Lytechinus pictus: one gene and its partner. The protein of the gene in region 1 interacts with the protein of each later gene in a pairwise test. Links are inferred from orthologs where the notes say so. Each region holds a gene or a part of one and is shown in the gene's direction. Other genes may lie near its edges.

What was found.
Region 2: the proteins of homeobox protein PKNOX1-like (region 1) and pre-B-cell leukemia transcription factor 1-like interact in binary tests that used the Caenorhabditis elegans proteins (3 or more experiments, as listed by UniProt). The link is inferred for Lytechinus pictus from reciprocal best matches to the Caenorhabditis elegans genes unc-62 and ceh-20.

Annotation. Positions count from the first base shown.
Region 1 is NC_087252.1:19,664,151-19,673,811, reverse strand, and holds the start of homeobox protein PKNOX1-like, read left to right. Parts: upstream 1-5,335; 5' UTR 5,336-5,360; coding exon 5,361-5,530; intron 5,531-6,371; coding exon 6,372-6,543; intron 6,544-7,453; coding exon 7,454-7,593; intron 7,594-8,717; coding exon 8,718-8,802; intron 8,803-9,661. UniProt on the Caenorhabditis elegans protein: Acts redundantly with ceh-20 and ceh-40 to perform overlapping roles during embryogenesis.
Region 2 is NC_087259.1:8,799,998-8,810,643, forward strand, and holds the start of pre-B-cell leukemia transcription factor 1-like, read left to right. Parts: upstream 1-6,144; 5' UTR 6,145-6,193; coding exon 6,194-6,394; intron 6,395-7,177; coding exon 7,178-7,371; intron 7,372-9,113; coding exon 9,114-9,249; intron 9,250-10,060; coding exon 10,061-10,381; intron 10,382-10,646. UniProt on the Caenorhabditis elegans protein: Transcription factor that binds to the 5'-TGATNNAT(G/T)(G/A)-3' PBC/Hox lineage enhancer region of sem-2 to promote cell fate specification in the postembryonic mesoderm (also known as the M lineage).

The DNA of each region.
Region 1 (9,661 bases):
GCTGGCACACAACCTTATGTTTTGCATAGTCTGCAAGCACAGACTCACCTTTGACACTTAAACCAATTATACCATGTCTAGAATGGAGACTATAGACGCAAGCTTTCTGTCTGTGTCAAACAAAGAGCCAGCCACAGTACATAGTGAATCTAGTCTCACTACTACAGACTCTGCATTATGCACTCTGCGTATTGTGTAAACCAGGGTCTGTGCATACAGACTACATGTATGTTCAGGAGGGTATTTTTAGTCTACAAGTCAGAGCATGGAGTGTACTTGTATAAAGATACCTCCATGGGCAAATTATGTAGGCCTACATTTAGTTTTATATGAAAAGCTAATTTGAAAATAAGGGTATGTTCTTATATATGCTCAAGTAAAGTAGAATTTTGTTGTGATTAGATTAAAAAGACAAAATTAGTAGTCTCCACTGCATCATGTTCAAAATCTATTCACCCCATCATACATACCTCCTATCATATGAAAATTTGTACTACTGACTACCGGTACTGTCCTTCGATAAATCTTCAGCTCACGATCTAGAGATACATGTAGATAAACATAATATTAATAAAGATATAGTGGCCCGTATTCTGAAGTCGGGTTTTACTTAAACTCAGGTTTAAAGTTGTGGTTTAAGTATGGATAGCCAATTGTTACATAAATCACTAACAGTACTAGAGATATCATATTTCAGCTCATTTGGCTCTCAAATCATTCATTATTTTCTAGGAAGTATAAGTAGATGATTGTCTTCACCATTGATGAATCAGGAAAGAGCAAAGTAAACAACAGAAACATACAACTTGATAAAAATGTTGACACTTTTGGCTTCCCATAACTTTAGCACAGAGATAGACCATGGTCTAAGTTAAACCTGACTTCAGAATACGGGCCAGTATGTTTACAGGACAATTATTTGTAACTGTTTAACAACTACTGTAAAGTTCGTATAGCAAATGGCATTGTACAAAAAATTAAAATAACGTTTTTAGAAGAAAATCGAGGCACTAGTCCATTGGATTTGCAGGTAGTCCAGATTGGTCAAGTTGTTTTGAGGAGAGATATCAACTTACCATTGCAGGGAAATGTGAAATGGGATGTGTGTCAGCAATTATTGCCCATTTTTACTTTCATTAAGAAATTACCTGCCATGGACTTGAACTGTTTTTCAGTAGGCCTACTCAATTTTGGTCCGAAGATGCTGGTAGCCTGCAAACTTAAAGAGAATGAACTCTACCCAAATAGAAAAAAAGCAGATTGGTAAAATAAGAACATACATGTACATGTACTTGGACAAGTAAGGAAGCAAGCAAACAAGCGAGAAAAAAGGAACAAAAAAATTGAATTTTTGGAAGTTGTCATCACTACAGTAAAGTGTAGATTTTTTTATAAGAATAGTATAGATTTGACCAAATAGACCTTTATATTAAGGGACCATTTCCAGTTTCCACATTTTGCTTTTGAGTACTACAAAACGATTATAAAAGACATTAAATGTCATATTTTACTCCAATTGATATGAGGTGTGATCTTATGATTATCGCCGGAGAGAAAATGAGCTGTCCCCACAAGTCATTGATGACTTATGATTTACAGCGAAGACGAGAGCTGTCTATGTTTAACTCAATGTCACATTTGAACATCGGTTTCCCATTTCTAGTTTAAATTACATTCACTCAGTAAAGTAAAGTCAAATGTAGACTTATCAATTAATAATTAATTTTGTTTTTTATGACCGAACTGTCTTTTCTTATTTGTCAACACAGATAATGTAGCTTTGATAGGGCATCAGAAAAACTCGACCAAAAAAGTAGTGGATATGTGCCGCGGGCGAGAAAAAAAAAGGGGGCCTTGGAGCGGGCTTATTGTAAAAAGGAGGGTCCTCGGAACGGGCTTCGGAACAACAAATGTTTGTGAAAACGGGGGTCCTTGGAACGGGTCGCCTGCGTGTGATTGTGTATTCATCATCCCTATGGAACGGGCATACGTGCATGCAGCTAGCCCGGCGGCACGGGTGCGCTAGCGCAGATGCGATGGTCGGACAGCGCTTTGCGGCTCATTGTAGCAGATCAATACCGCTGGAACATCGTAACGGAAAATATGCGAAGCTTTGGAGCGGATTTCTTTCTTCTTTTTTCTCGATAAGAAGAAAATACTATGCTTTGGAGCGGCCTTCTGTGTTCTTTTTCTCAATAAGACAAAAATGCTATGCCTTGGAACGGAAATTTGAGTGTAAAAATGGGGGTCCCCTCCGCGGCACATACCCACTATGCATTATATACTGAGTGCCCCCCCCCCCGGGTTTTGCTGTACAATATACTATTCATTGGGCAGTTCTCAAATTATAGAAGGGGCATGACTTCAAAGAGGGCTTGACTTCCTAATTCCCTAACCCAGTGCCCATTATTTCCTAACCTACTGCCAATCCCCTCATCTCTTCAAGGAGACACATATAAAGAATGAAAGAGAAAGAGAAGAAATAAATTGAGAAACAAGAATAGAGTATTGTTAGAGAAAGAATGAAAAAAGACAGAAAGAGACAAATCAGGATTGCTTTGAAGAGAGAAAAAAAATTGTTATTTGTAAAGACACACAAGATGGATGTTTGGAAGGTAATAAATAGCAAAAAGACATGCAGCTACAAACGATAAAAGAAAAGTGAAAATGAGAGAGGGAGAGGGGCTGGTCGAAAGTGTTGTCTTCTCTTCAAGGAGACACATATAAAGAATGTAAGAGAAAAAGACAGAAATAAATTGAGATCGAGGGAAGAATAAGAATAGAGAAAGAATGAAGACAGAGAAATCTCAAGATTGCTTCGAGAGAAAAATGCAAATGCATTATAATTGTAAAATGGATGGGCGGAAAGTAAATAACAGAAAGCGAAGAGATGACACGATCATAGAAAAGTAAAAATGAGAGAGAAAGAGAGGCTGAGAGTGTTGTCATCTATCCAAGGAGACAAAGAATGAAAGAGAAAGAGAAAGAAATAAATTGAGAGAGAGAGGGATGGAGAAAGAATGAAGAATGAGACGAATCAGGACCGCTTCGAGAGAAAAAGAAAAAGCGTTATTTGTAAAGACACAGGTTGGATGGAAGGTAAAAAATAGAAATAAAAAAGACATACAATTATAAACGGTAATAGAAAAGTAAAAATGAGAGAGAAAGAGAGACTGAGAGTGTTGTCATCTACTCAAGGAGACAAAGAATGAAAGAGAAAAAGAAATAAATTGAGAAAGAAGGGTAGAGTAAGAATGAAGACAGAGAAAGAGACAAATCAGGATTGCTTTGAGAGAAAAATGCAAAAGCATTATATTTGTAAAGACAGTTAGGATGGACGGTAAATAACAGAAAGCGAAAAGACATGCAACTACAAACGATAATAGAAAAGTGAAAATGAGAAAGAAAGAGAGACTGAGAGTGTTGTCATCTATTCAAGGAGACACATACAAAGAATGAAAGAGAAAAAGAAAGAAATAAATTAAGAGAGAAGGATATAGAGAAAGAATGAAAGAAAGACGGAAAAAGAGACCAATCAGGATTGCTTCAAGAGGAAAAAATGTTTGTAAAGACATGTAGAACTGATGGGCGGAAGGTAAATAATACAAAGCAAAAAGACATGCAACTAAAAAAAAATAATAGAAAAGTGAAAATGAGAGAGAAAGAGAGACTGAGAGTGTTGTCATCTATTCAAGGAGACAAAGAATGAAAGAGAAAAAGAAAGAAATAAATTGAGAGAGAAGGATATAGAGAAAGAAAGAATGAAAGAAAGACGGAAAAGTGACTAATCAGGATTGCTTCAAGAGAGAGAAAAATATTTGTAAAGACATACAGAACTGATGGGCGCAAGGTAAATAACAGAAAGCAAAAAGACATACAACTACAAACGTTAATAGAAAAGTGAAAATGAGAGAGAGAGAGAGAGAGACTGGGAGTGTCGGGATGAATCATATGTGTATGATTGACGTTTCCATTGTTTGGTTTATTGTTTGCACATACCAGCAACTAAAGGCGTCTTTGTGCACTTTTTATGACCCATACACCCAGTCAATGTCACAGAGTGTGGAGTGTGGTTCAAGGCTTGAGGCATATTTGGGGAATATCAATTGAAAACAAACCTTTTCTAGTCAAGTACAGTTTTAGTATTCAAAGTCAGGGGATAATTTATAATCATGCCTAATAATAGAGTGTGTAAACTCTTGCTTGCATGCTCCGGGTATGCTCCCCTGGGTGCGGAGAAAGTGTACATGTATACAGTGTGTGCAAGCTTACAGAATCTGTTAGTGACGACATGTAGAAAACAGAAACTTTCTAGATTAGTCTGAGTACATGCACAGTAAGGGAATATGGTAATATGTACGTGGGGGAAGGTTTACGGTTCACCATGTGTAATATGAAGAAGGGAAAGGAAATACAGGCAGAAAGATTGAAATGGAAAGACCAGAAAGGATGAAAAGAGGAAATTAGAGGTAGTCTTTTCTTGAAAGTGAGTGAAGTCCTGAAAAAGGACTGTAAACCAGATGAGATGAGCTGAATATGGCTTGAGTAGCGATGATTTGAGTAGTAGCAGGTTGAAGTAAGAGAGGTTACTCAACGTTTTGGCAGGTTGACTGTCCATCTTTAGAAGTGGTAATAAGCCAGAGTGGTAATATGCTTATTCAAAACTCTTGACTAAATCCTCCTATGGAGTGTAGAAAGTGCATTTATTGTGTGCGGGCTTGTGAAAATCCGATGAGATCATAATCGATCTCAATTTGTTTCTGTGTCTCTTGGAATGATTAGTTCAAACATCGACAACTGATTTTGTCATGTATATCTGTAGGTAATTGGTGAAAATATCGGTAAATTGCCAATTCGTCCACTGCCAACTTGTCCACTCACCACATGGTCTACCTTCATTTAGTCTAATGCCATGCCGTCCATCAACATTTTGTCTAACAACCATTTGGTGGACAATAATCACTTTGTCTAATCACCAGTTCGTCTATTACCATTTCGTTTAATAACCAGTTGGTCTAATACCCATTTTCTTTTCCTTCATTTTGCACAATTAACACTTTAGTTTAATTAGACCAAATGGTATCTGGACTAAATGGCTATTGGACCAACTGGTTATTAGACAGAATGGCATTAGACTAAATGAAAGTAGACCATGTGGTGAGTGGACGAACTGATGGTAGACAAAGTGATAGTTGACGAGTTGGCAATTGGACGAATTGGCATTAGACGAAATGTTTAGTTTGAGAAATTTATTTTGTACTTAAAGCATACTAATATAGTTGCTGCACTATGCAAATTGATCTTATTAAAATTATTATTTCATTTATTATTTTTAGGCCAGTGCAACCTGACCAATCAGGATGCAGCAGTCTAGCGGCGAAGAGTCGGAGAGTAAGCATCGTCCTGCCGGGACTAGGACAGTACCTGCTAGCATCCTCAAGGCAGGAACGGAATCAGTTGGGAACCTTACTCCCGAAGAAGCAGAAGAATTACAGGTCCAGTTAGAGAAAGATAAGCGAGCAGTATATCAGTGAGTACTCTCTATATATAGCTTAATGGCCTCCAATATTGCTTAAAAAACCATAATTATTACTAATATAATACCAGAGTATACTTCACTTTAAAGTCTGTCTCAACCAGTACGGGTCACTGATGGACAATTCCATGAAATATGCACGTCTGACCCCATGTATGTGAGACATTCATGAAATTTTCTGTCTCTGATTTCTGGTTCTTTTGACAGTCTTCAATGCTGTCAAATGATCATGAGTTGGTCAGTTTATGAAGTAAATGGGAGTTGCATGTACAAAAAGGTTGATTATTTTACAGAATTGCTCTGATGTGAAGTCTGTAGCTCGAGTATCTTCTAACATTCAAATTGTTAAAAAATGTAGAGGTCATTGATGGTTTTTCAGCTGTAAGAATTCAATTCCAGTACCATCTACCATTCATGTTTTTATTGTTTATTAAAAAAATAGGTGTTAGAGATTTTCAAGTTCTTACTTGACTAATTTGTTGATTGAATGTCAGAAAGCTACAGACAAAGATTATATCTTGAAATTTTCAGCACATTCCATGCTTGAGAAATGAGAAGGTTTCATATAAGCAAGATAAAAAATGTGCGGATAGTTTACTTTGATGGGCACCTGATCAACGTAATTTTTTATGTAAAATTGTTAAATTTATCAGATTTAACACATTTTCATTTTTGCCTCACTCGCATCATAATAATGCTAATGATGATAATAATGTAGGATATATAAAGCACATGTATCACCTTGTTACATGTAGGTGCTCAAGGCGCTCCTATTTTAAGGCACACACAGCTCGCTCCACCTTTAACAAAGGCATTATATTTTTTTTATCTCTAGACACCCTCTGTTCCCACTCATGGCGTTATTATTTGAGAAGTGTGAACAGGCCACCCAGTCACCTGACCCACCGACGTCGGCGAGCTTTGATGTCGACATCGAGGAGTTTGTCAACAGGCTGAAGAGAGAGGGCAGCACATTCTTTATTGAAGACACAGAAATTGATACATTAGTGAGTATAGTTGTTGAAGTGAATCAATCAGCCATTATTGAACCGGGTTGTACAGAACCAGTGGTAGATCCTGTCGGGTGGGATACAATACCATATCGTGGGTCATATTGTTTGTGTATAATGGTGGGCCCATCCAAAGTATTGTGTGTAATCCGACTAGATCCACCCATGGACATGAGCCATGGACCCGTATTCTGAAGTCGGGTTTAAGTTAAACTCAGGTTTAAAATTGTGGTTTAAGTATAGATGGCCAATTGTTACATAAATCACTAACAGTAGAGATATCATATTTCAGCTCATTTGGCTCTTAAATCATTCATAATTATCTAGGAAGTATAAATAGATGATTGTTTTCACCATCGATGAAGCAGGAAAGAGCAGAGTAAACATAAGATACGTACAACTTAATAAAAATGTTGATACTTTTGGCTTCCTATACTTAAGCCACAACTTTAAACCTGAGTTTAAGTTAAACCCGACTTCAGAATACGGGCCATTGTAATTAATGATAAAGGAGAATTTTTATGCCAAAAGAAAACATTTTCAGCATTTTCCGGATGTTGATGTATTCATGATGTAAGTGTGGTTAATTAGGAATGAAATTGAGATGCTGAACCACTTTCATATAGTGCTGGGCGATATTTCAACGTCAAAATTATGCGATATTGAAAAATACTAAATATTCAATTTATTATTTTCTTTATGAGGGTGTTCCTATATGTTTGGAGATAATGCATCTTGCAGATTACTCTATAATTATCAGATTCAGAGTAATTTGCAAGTTTGTTGAGTTCAACTAACCAACTTCTGTCTTTATTGTGGCACTCTACAGCATGCTTACAAGTATAGAAGTAAAGGATCACAGTGAGTGCTAACAATTTGTATCAATGTTATTTCTTATATCTTCCAGATGATCAAAGCAATCCAAGTACTAAGAATACACCTGCTAGAGCTGGAGAAGGTTAATGAACTTTGTAAAGACTTCTGTCATAGATATATAACTTGTTTGAAGAGCAAGATGCATAGTGAGAATTTATTGAGAGATGAACGGTAAGTTTTAACAAAGGGATAGATTAACTTTGTCAAAAGAAGAGACATTTGCCTCTGACTTCATGAGAAGTTTACAGGTGCCTTTATTTTGAAGACCAGCTTAAGTTAGACTACTGTCTAACGCTGTGTTTGAATTATGGAAAGCTTGAAATGTCAAATGTTTGTGTAAATTGTTTGTTTTCTAATGTTTACTCTGCTCTTTCTTGTGGATTTAATGGTGGAGAAAACAATTTTTTTTAATTATTTCCTGACAGTGATGAATGAATTGAGTGTCAAGTGAGCAGATAAATTGAACTATGATAAAAGTATAATAATAACGGTATATTTCCTAAGGGTAGCCACTTCAGTTCAGAAAACTGTTCTCTCAGCAGGCCCTGCTATTATTATTACCCAGCTAAGCTAGGCTACCGATTAATGTGCACACAGCTTTTTGAGGAATTATTTCCTGCTGGTACCCATTTACCTCACCTGGGTTGAGTGCAGCACAGTGTGGATAAATTTCTTGCTGAAGGAAAACACGTCACGGCCAGGATTCGAACCTACGACCCTCTAGACCACGACACGCCCACTTATACTTGTACTGTTACAGATATTTGTTGTAGATGGCTGTCCATAATTAAACCATAACTTAGATCCGAGTTCAGAATAAGGGTCAATGTATTTACCTAGTGTGTAATTAACCATACCTGAAAGCCCAATGTTGCAAGAAACGTGCATTCAATTCCAAATCAAACATTAGTCCCAAAATCAAAAGTCTTTTGATGGGTCTTTATTGATGTAACTTGTTTTGTTTCAATTGGAAATACATGTATTCTCTATGTACATCAGTGAAATAATAACATGTTCCACCTTTTATACTATATTAAATAAATAAAAGATTGAAATTTTCAAATGGCTTATTTGCCTATAACTATTCACAAAATTCTACATATTTGTGAATAATTTTCATGAAATTCCTTTGTGTTTCTCTTTTAATGTCACTGTATTTATTTCAATCAACTTGAATTTAGCATGCACGACCCCACTTAAGTCAGAGCTTGACTAGGTACATGTAATTCCTGTTTAATATCTTGTTAAAGATACTTGTAACCGCTGAATATTTCTTTTCTTTTTGATGTTTTTAGAGGAGAAGCCACTCAATTTGATAGTCAGTACTTATCCAACGGAGATCTCTTAGATCTAGAACCACCGCCCACGGAACATAATCAGGTATGTGTTCTTAAGAGACATTTCTTATCCCTAATGGATTAAAGGGGGATGGGGGGGGGGACTGGGAGGGGAGAGTGGAGTCAGACTCCCTCTTAGATCTAGAACCACCGCCCACGGAACATAATCAGGTATGTGTTCTTAAGAGACATTTCTTATCTCTAATGGATAAAAGAGGGAGGGGAGAGTGGAGTCAGACTCCCTCTTAGATCTAGAACCACCGCCCACGGAACATAATCAGGTATGTGTTCTTAAGAGACATTTCTTATTCTAAATGGATTAAAGGGGGAGGGGAGAGTTGAATCAAGACTCCCTCTTAGATCTAGAACCACCTCCCACGGACATAATCAGGTATGTGTTCTTTAGAAACATTCCTTATCCCTAAAACAGTGTGATGAATGCGCGAGCTGTTGTCATACTACTACGTGTTCTTATTTGAATAATTAACATATGTCTCATGATTCCTGTAAGATTTGAAGTTATTGTGTTAGTAGATTATTGTATAGGACCTATATGAATTGTCAATAGTTTCTAAGTAGTACATCACAAGTTAGGACTATTTGAATTTACACACATACATGTATCGACTCTGTATTTGAATTATATGTTTTCTGATTATTTCTATATTCTTATGTTCAATTAATTGTAATGATGTTTTCACTTTCGTATTCTTTCTTGTTCTTTGCCTAGATATCTTGTATATTCTTATTTTCTTTGCTTATAGCGGTTTGAAACTGCTGTATAAAAAAATGTGTATATTATGATTATTAGTATTATTAGTGACGCTGTGCATAGCTTATATGTTAATTGATTATTACATCCATTATATGGATTACCATTTTTCCAATTGCCTTTTTCTGTT
Region 2 (10,646 bases), on another chromosome or scaffold:
TTTTAATTTCAGCCAACAATAAATCCTAGCTTTGAAAATAAATCATTAGATTTACCAACCTTAACCTTTTCAAAGTTCCATTGCCATTGTTTCTTGCTCGTATGCAGACTAAAAACTCTAATTGACCAAACTTTGGACAAATTAGTCAAGATATAAGTTATCCATGGTATTTACCATTAATCAAATTTAAAGAGAGAGGGAAAGGGGGAGAAGGGGAGAAACAAAATGACCGAAGAAAAGAGGTCCCAATACAAACCCCTGTGGAGGGTCAATGTGCCTGAGGGCATAGTTAACCTCATTGGCCAGGAGTTTTCTTGATTGGAACCAGATAAGCATTCTTGCTGATATGATGTCATAGAATGGGGCTGCAATGAAAGAATCTCTTTGAATTTGTGAAGTGACATAATGAAATGGCTTTGAATGAAATGATTGAAGGGGTGATATTCAGGTATTGTATGGATAGGGTTAAGGGTGTGGATGGGGCAGGTGAAAGGGGGCCTTTGGGATTGAAAGAAGGTCAACCTGAATGTTTCTTCAACTTTCCTTATATTAGGTATAAAACATGGATATGAAATAGTATGTCACAGGAGTTATACCAACTAAATTACAAGTTTGCACTTCCTCCAAAGGACCCTAATTACCAAGAGTCTGAGTTTTGGAGTTGACAATATAGTATGTTTATGACTATGCAGGATTGAAAATAAGGGGGTATAAGAGTTACATTTGCAGAAAACTTTAGTAGTTCATACTTCAAACCAAAATGACAGAAAATAGGGGGATGGGGAGGAGAAGCGAATGGGTGCTCTATAGACAGTGTATATGATTGTGGGGGAGGGGTAATTCATGTCATTGTTTGGAATACCAAGGAGGTCATTGGGGGAGAGATTTGGGTTTGCCAAGGTCATCAAAGGATTTAGCAATCCCATGTTTGAGGGCAGGAATGATGATTGACACGGACCTGAGGTCTCTCATTCAAATCTACAATTACTCTGCTGTTAGAATGCTTCCTACCCTACTAGATCTGAAAATGCCCCTCGATTACTTGAAATTGCTCAGGTCTCGCACCCTTGAAAGCTTTATCTAGTTTATTTGTAATCTGCCTTTTTATTTCTTGTATGTTTCTTGTTTTAATCTTGTAAATCCTTTGTAAATATTGTAATTTTTGATGATGTATTTTAATAAAAACTTAGATATATATATATATATATATATATATATATATATCTACATCTGCAGTTAAGGCGAATTTTTTTGTCTTTCAATGTTAGCAATGCGCCTTAACGCCCTCTACCTTCGAATTAACGTCTAAATGTGTATTATGACGGAATAAACCCATTCATAGACTTCGCCCTTACATAGGATGTATGCATATATATATAAATATATATATATATATATATATATATAAAGAACTTGCTCAGGTCTCAAAATATCTCACAATTAATTTTGTTCATTTAACACCAACCTGAACCAGAGAAAGCTCCTGTAGTTAAGCAAGAAATGCAACTTGTACTCCATACAATAATAATGTGCATTGTTCTGGCCTGACATTGAAAGTTATGGCAATTTTCCTTCACATTGCCATGATCGCAAAATCGCTAAACAATTCAGATAAATTTGAAAAGTACCTTATAACTTGCAGGTGTTTTCTATTCCGAATAGTACAAGCACTTTACTCTCACACCTGCAAATACCAGATAAGCTGTTTTCTGATCATCTGGGTGCAATACCTTATGAGAAAATACTAGATATTTTTTTGTGATTCAGGGGGTGTGAAAACATATCTTTATCGGACAATCTCAATGCATTGTGGGGATATACCATTACAATCAATGAATTATTTCTGAAAAGCCACAGTTGACGGGGGTTCTTCTATATTTGAATGTTTCATTTTCAATATTCATGCATGGTCAAAAGATTTTGAAAATGATTTCAGACCCAATCAACCTTACATAGAAGTACGAACTGGCCATAAAGACTGAATTTTCTGATTGGTTTCCCTTGAACATATTCTAAAACATAGTAAAAAAAGTCACCTGTTTATAAAGATCACTTGTTTCACTTTCTTTGTTGTCTGTAAAGACCGACTCTCTTGGGTTGTCTTTATCAATCACTTTGGCTGTATTACATTTTGAAGAATTAAAGTGATTGGTTAACATTGGTTTGACTTTTAAAAAATCTGAGCTAGAAGGTCACACTTGTCACCTGTGTCTGTGATATGTTACAAAAAATGAAGCCCAGAAAAAATTGCGTTCGAAAATAATTATTTAGTGCTTCAAAAATTGAAATATAAAGTGACCGAAAACACCATCTTAATTTCATCCCATACACTTATGTGTACTATTTAGGCGTCTATAAGACGCCTATTTACAAAATCGGGGTTTGCCTTGTAGTTTTAGCTTTTCATTCTCAATAATGGTTGTTTTCAGGGTTTATTAGTTCTAATACATGCACTTGTACACATGTTTCATCTTGGTTTGAGAATTTTTTTAAATCGGCTGCTCACAAAGTTAAACAATACCTTTAACTAAAAATGTGTAGGCCCTGACTTATTAAAAATAGTATTTATAAAATTACAGCAGGTTTGTACGAGTGAAACTGTAAAAAGATGGTGATTAGTTATTACAGATCTTCAGGGTTCTTGGTGGCTTCGTGCTGCCTGATTGGCTGTGTTGGGTTTGGAGGCATCCAGGGTTTTGGGTGTTGGAGGATAGCCCTCGTCAGCTGCGTGTATTCCTCTCTCATTAGCTCCTTGCTTCATCTCGGGGTTATTGGAGCGTATATAGACGAATCCCAACGCTCCTTCCTCGTCTTCTCCTCTTCTCTTGTCTTATGTTTCCTCCGGTAATTGACTATTTTTTTTGTACTTAATTTATGTGGTCTTTATTTTCTCTTAGTTTTACTCTAGTTCTCATCAAAGTACTTTATTTTGTATCTTCCATCTCCGACATATTGGATGATATCTTCCTGCTTTTTCTTCCCCATTTATTTTTGGTGCTGTTGTAATGTTCCATATTTTGTATTACATATGTAAGAATGATATTCATTTTCTATCAATAGTAATAATAAATACTCATTAACACTATCATTATCACCACCACTACCACCATCATCATTATCACCACCACCATCGTCATCATCATCGTCATCACCATCGTCATCACCATCATCATCACCACCACCATTACCACCATCATCATTATCACTATCATTGTCATCACCACCATCACTACCACCACAATCATCATCATCACCATCACCCTTAATCGCCATCAATAATCTTTGTCATCATTTTCATCCTCATCTCTATTTCTCATGCAAATACTCCCCATACTGTTGTTTCATTTGAACTTATTTGGGTTATCCCTCTCCTATCACAAGAGGGGGCTATGACTTTAATAATGCCTAAGTATGATGTAGCGTGATACCCACAAACACACCAGCAAAGTGCAGATGTGTGGATCCTGACATTCACTCCTTCCTCAATCATATGTAAGAATGATTTTGTATTCAAAATGATGTTTTGTCAGAAATGAGATTAAACATATGAATTTACTATTGGCATTAATATTAAAGTCTCATAGTTTGACAGTAGTTAAAGCCTATAATGGCACATTAGATTTTGTTACTTACAAAGCACTGAATTGTCAAGTTCGTGGTTACTCGACTAAATTAAAATCATTCAAATTACATCAATATAAAAATCAAAGAGTACACTATGGAAAGCTGCTTCTAACACAGCTACAAATTAAAGCAAAAGTTACTTTGCTTTATAGTTGTACAGCTCCAACTTTTGAATAAACTGTTCGAGTATTAAATAAAACGTGTTTTTTTCTTACACTCTTCAAATGTTTTTTTAGGTCATTTCAAATGCTTTTGAAAAGAGTGGATTTTGAAAAATAAATCTCTCTAAAATGCATATATGGCAGATAGCCAGCTACCTATATTGTCATGAATACAGAAGTAAATTCTACATGATTAATTGATAGTGGTTTTAATGTTGCATTTGAAGTGAGGCTCTTGTGGTTTTTTTTTACTTCTTGTTTTTATGTTGGTAGCTAAAAACGAGGAAATAGATACTTATATCGCCTGTAAGCATCATAAGGGTACGCATATACAAATTTATAGCATACCATAGAGTATATCTTGATAAACTAATATAAAATATTTCATAGTTATCTGTCATTTTCCCCACCTAACTAGACCTTCACATGTCACAACTATAATCTCCTTATGAATATCAAAATTTTCTTTAAACAGAAAGTTTTTTAAAAAATGAAGTCATCCCATCAGACAATTTGGAGATGATTTTTGACAAGTCACAAATCCCTCTTGATATTCTTAGGGGGTTTTACTTGATTGCTGTTCATTTTTTCTGTCGATTTAGTTGAATTTTACCCCCTGCGCGAGATGGATCTTCTCCAGATTTGTGATGGCTGCATTGATGACCCTTAAGGCTACACTTGATTAAGCAGGCTTCGTCGAGATGTATATGTGTCAGCTTCGCCAGTTAAGAAGACGGGTTTGGAGTCATATTAATGAAATTTGCTGTTTGCTTTCTAATTCCACTCTCTCTACGAGTTTTTTAAGGGTATTACTATTTTTTTCGTCCATGAAGGTTTTGAATATATTTCAGAGGATGTACACTACAAATGAGGCGGAGAGAAGGAATTAGTTAAAAAATAGAGCAACGGGAGTGTGACAAAGAGAAGGAGAGTGAAAATAAGGAAGAAGTGTGGGTAAACTTAAGGGGAAATAATAGAGACAGGGAGAAAGAATGGGGGACTGGGAAAGAAATAAAGAGAGGAGAGGCAGAGAAAAAAAGATAGAGAAAATGAGAGAAATTACGCAGATGTAGGTGATTTCTTGTAAGGAGTGAAGTCATTATTTCCATACTGAATTTTCCAGACTGCTTCTTTTTCTCATATCTAACTACCTACGTGACCCCTCCTCATCAATACAGCTTCTGAAACCGATGCATGTTACTACTGTCGATTGTTGAATTCTGTTAAGAGAATGGGCAACGCTCTCCCGGGCTCTTATGATGGATGAAACTCAACTAGTTTTGATGTAAAACCCATACCTTGTGGCGATGATTCAATTAAACTCGCCCCCCTTTTTCTCCATGGATACCTTTTTTATGGAAAAGTAGGGCATTGACCCTTCTCTTACTGATACCCCTCGTACTCTATGGAGGGAGGGAAAGGGACTTTTCGAGCCCCTGCCACTATCAATTAAACCCTCAATCGTTATACCAACCATTTGTGGACTCTTTCAATTTTCTCCCGTTCTCTCTCTCATTCTCTCTTGTTCTCTCTTCATCTCTCTCCACATCTCTCCATACCTCTTCCCATCGCCTCCCTTACCCCCTTCTCGCTCACTTCTTAAAATATTCAAATTCAGTTACTTCTGGATGATATTTTTTTTCTTCAATCAGTCCCCCGAAGCCCAGGAAACTGCTTTCACGATAACTTTCAAAACGCCGGGTTTATTCTCCGACGAGACGTGACGCCAATGTCTCACGTTCATGTTCTACGGGATCCCTCTTCTCCTTTCTCTCCCTGTCACTAATTTGTTCGAGTTTCTTTTATTGCTTGGCTCTGCTTCTTGAGGGAATGTATTATATATTGGATAAAGATTTGCCTTGATGAGTCGTGATCCATCATGTTGCACCAAACTACGACGATGCGGCTAGGCTCTTCCACCATGCCCCTGCATAATTTAATCTTTTATTTTTACTTCACCATCTCTTTAGTTTCCCTCGTTCTTTTTCCTTTCCATTTTTTTCTCGTCAAGTTTGGTTAATTTGGCCAGCTTATTCAAACTTACTTTGCCAGATGTCCTGTTAGTTCTGTCTTTCTTGAAAAAAAAAATTGATTGGATCATGTAATATGCCATAAAAATAGATTTTTGTATGAACTGAAAAGAGTAAAAGACTGATAATCACTTATATTCGTATCCATAGGCATCACTTGACCAAGAAAAGCCAAACTCACGAATATGATATAACTTTCTTCAAAATATTGGTCAGCATGGTGTTATGTCTAGATAATAACATCTTGTGAATACATACATTTGATATTGTAAAATTGCAGCTGAATATATTGTTAAATATAATATTTATTTTTTTGTCTTCTTTATAGTTCTGAGTATTCGCGGAGCTCAAGAAGAAGAGCCGCCCGATCCACAGTTGATGCGGTTGGACAATATGCTGATAGCAGAGGGCGTGGCAGGGCCAGAGAAGGGCGGAGGATCGGCGGCGGCGGCAGCAGCAGCAGCAGCGTCGGGCGGAGGACTAGGCCAACCGGAGAATGCTATCGAACATTCAGATTACAGGGCGAAGCTGGCTCAGATCAGGCAAATCTACCATACGGAACTTGAAAAATACGAGCAGGTGAGAAATCATGAAGAGCAGCTAGTCTCTTCTCCAGGGACCAGTCTTGCTCCAAGTTATGATCGATCTAATCATTCCCACTTATGGCGAGCCATTGGCATCATAATCGACAATGTATATGCAACTGTCCAATTGGAAACAAAGTGCATGCTTGGAGGACAAAATATGCACGCATATGTTTCTCATAATTACAGAAGAAATAATTTGAACGAACATATGCATTTCAGATGATGGTATCACTGGCTTGCCATAGTCGAGATTGATTAATTGATTGATTGATTGATTGAATTTGATTTATTGATTGAATCAATCAATTGCAAATCATAAGGATGGAATAGGCAAGGGGACAAGATATTAAAAGTTGAAATGCAGGTTACTCCATGATTTAGCTCAGCAAACAATGATTTTTAGACAAGTAACTGTCAATGACACAATAATAGAGGTAATGGGAAAAATTGTATTGAAAGTTTGGATATCTATATGTACATATTTTACTATCTGTTTGGTTGTGAAACTTGTGATTTTACAGGTCAGGTACCTGTTGCAGAGAGAATTGCAAAAATTCTCCAAAAATTGAACACAACTTCATTTCCCAACAATTAAGAGTGCCACGTGGGACCTGGGCATGAATTTTAGAGTTGCAACTCGTGACTCTTCACCGGAATCTTGCGCAATATTCAAAATTTCAATCGTATCCGACATTGTGGGTCTTTGACCGTTCTCGCAAGAACCTTATTCAACATTTATCATACCAACTTATGCCCTCCTCTTCTGACTCCCAAGCAGGCATGTAATGAGTTCACAACGCACGTCATGAACCTGCTCCGAGAACAGAGCAGGACGCGACCCATCGCCCCCAAGGAGATCGAGCGCATGGTCAGCATCATCCACCGCAAGTTCAACGCCATCCAGGTCCAGCTGAAGCAGAGCACCTGCGAAGCTGTCATGATTCTACGCTCAAGGTTCCTGGATGCCAGGTAAGATCATCGTTATGCCTCTCACAACATCCGATCACCGCATGATTGGCAAAAGGGTCTGCGGCTGGCGTAACCTTGCTGGAAAGAACGCAGTGTTACACAGTGGGACCGTGCACAGCGTGTTCACATTGTGGACTATGCGAATATGTGATTCACACTGTTGAAATGCTCAAATTTAACAGTGTGAAGGTGTTTTCACATTGTGTTCCACACTGAACCCACTGTGGGACACTGTACTTTCCAGTAGGGAAGGACTGTAGCCCAAGTATAAAAATGAACAATGTGTTCAAGAGTTAACATCCTTCTTCGTGACCGAAAGGATTGGTAATCGACGTGCATAAATCTTTATGCCCTTAGTCCAGTCAGGAAATGAGATGATAATGGCCCTTTTTTCACACAAAATGATAAAACCTGAAGCATATTAGATATTTAGGTTTATGGCTTTGAAAATCTGCATGGAAGTTTTAATGTCCTCTGGGTTAACCATCTTTTATAATATTGTGCATCAGTTGGAAAAGATTAAAGGATATTTCCAGAGGTTGTGAAGCTGTCTAGCCTTACGTTCCGGTGATGCAAGGAATAATCATCCCCAAGGTTCCCCAGTCTCAGAAATTCAGTTGTCACTTTACTGAAAGTCGATTGGTGTTGGATACGTCTGGAGCAGCAGTGGCGGAGGAAAGTTTGGCTCTGACAAACAGTTTGGGGTGGAGTAGTTGTTTACACAAAATGATTGGTCCTCCTATGCTAAGTCTGATCAGAACGTTCCAGTGCCACTGATGGTGTTGTCCAGAGAGGACCTTGATAGATGGAACCTATCTTTCTCTAAGCTAGCGTAGAGGGACCGACTCCCAAATTCTCTAATTCGTCAGTGCCAATCCCCTCGACTCCCTCCAAATCAACTGTAGGGAATTTGAGAGTCAGTATAGCTTTGGAAAAGATATTTTCCCTCAATCAATGTCCACTCTGGACTCTGGAGGTGGCGGAACAAGTCGGCGTCGTCGATGAATAAAACCATGGTTCTTGGACATCTGGTAAGACCACCTTCAAGATATCCTACCCCATGGCTTGGACACATACCAACGAAACTGACTTCAAACTGATCAATGATCTGTGAGAACAAGATATATTTTTTGTAGTCTGAAGTCGGTTTCACCGCTGTGACTCTGGCATAAAGATTCAGTGTTGAAGATGACAGTATGTCACAAGATTCACTTGGTCCAAGGAGGAAAGAACCGGTCTCTGGGTTTAGAGTAGCAAGGTAAGATTGTGTAGAAGATCTCCTTTAATTTCTTCAATGATCAGAATGGCCAAGGGGTCAGATGATGGAGACGCAGTTGGTAAGTAGAATGAAGTGTTTTCGTCCAGAGAATTATTAAAGCCAAAAACAGAATTCCTGAGCAGCAGCATGCGTAGTCATCAGTGATTGAAGCGCACATCATATCTGCAGTTGGCTCTACGTGTAGTGCCCCTACATTTATTTACTTTGTGCAATCAAATGAATTATATTGTTACATCACCTGTGAAACCATGCAACATTTTGGACAGGAAGTGTGCAACAGTACAAATTCTCACTTTCAGTCTCCTATTTGCTTGCATACAAAAAAGTAGTCGTTGTGCAATATTTGAATGGCATATCATCATACAGTCAGTTTGGAGATAGTTCTGTTGATGTGACAGCAGCATTTGGTTTGGTTTATATCTTGACTTTTCATTGTAATTTCTTCCTGTATTTGTCTTTATAGGAGAAAACGAAGGAACTTCAGCAAGCAAGCAACAGAGATCCTCAACGAATACTTCTACTCCCATCTTAGCAACCCCTACCCAAGTGAAGAAGCGAAAGAAGAACTAGCAAGGAAGTGCGCCATCACGGTAGCACAGGTATGGACTGTGGGGATCTCTGTATGTGTGGGTTTTGTGTGTTTTTGTATGATAAAACACTATCTAACCGGGGATGTTTGGTTAAACATGGACGGGTCTCTTTTTTTGTAGTCTCTCAATGGGCTGTAAATTTAAAGTAGGTGGCACTAAAATGTAAAATACTCTGAACAATGGGACAAACTTTGCATACGTCCTTAACATCACTGGTGTCATACACACAAACGTCCTCGGTGGCATGTTGTATGCAAGAGTTTCAACCATCCATAGCTGACGATATAATAATATAATATTGTGTGTGTATGCGTATGCCGGGGGGGGGGGGTAGGGGTGAGGGGGTTTACAAATCAGTATCACCCAGATATACATGTATAATTCTCATTTTGGGACTGACTTTGAACAACGGTTCACACAATCAAGTGTGTAACTTCCTAGTGCTGCTGTGGACACATAAATGTCAAGTTTGTAATGGTTTATATTCTGGTATGATTTTTTGTGTGTGCAAGTGTGAATGACCAATTTGTTTCATAACATTTGAAATCATTTTCAACCAAATTATCTATTTAAATTCAAAGTTCAAGGTTACTCTGCACAAGTGAAAAATATTTAGCCTAATAATCAGCATTATGTAGGGTCTCACAAACTTAATGGTGTGAAAAATATCCTGGACAAGATCAAAAGATGACTACATGTAGGTCTGCTTATATGCCTGTACTCCTTATTTTCCTATAGTTCCCAACCTACCCATTCACTATATGATTCATAGGAGCTTTAAAACAATTAAGGTCATCATTTGCATTTGTTTTATCTCCAGGTTTCCAATTGGTTTGGTAACAAGAGGATCCGCTACAAGAAGAACATCGGCAAGGCCCAAGAAGAAGCCAACCTCTATGCTGCAAAGAACGCCGCCTCGGCCGTCTCCAGTGTCAACCCGTCCAGCCAATCGCAGGCCTCGGCCGGCTCCCAGGAGGGTCAGTCACCGGGCACGCCCACCTCGGGCTCGGGAGGGGGCGGTGGCTACGGCATGTCATCGGGTGGGGGCATGATGGGAAGCAGCGGAACAGAGTACATGGGGATGCCGAATGGAGACAGTTACCAGCTGCCAAATCAAGTGGGTGCCAACGTTCAGTCCCAGGTATTGAGATGTGTGCGGTGATGGTAGGATAGCTTAGTTTGAAAAAAGGGTGGGGTTCTGTGGATATCGATAGATCCCCTTTTCGAAATTGATTATCAAACTTTTATCAGTTCATGCCAAAGTTAATAAAAGAAAATAAGCAACATGATACTAATAACCAATAGGCAAATATTACTAGTAGAAATTAAAAAACTCATCAAAAAATAATGTATAGAAGTGAGACAAAATAGAGAGCTATCATTTTCATAGAAGTAATGCACAGACA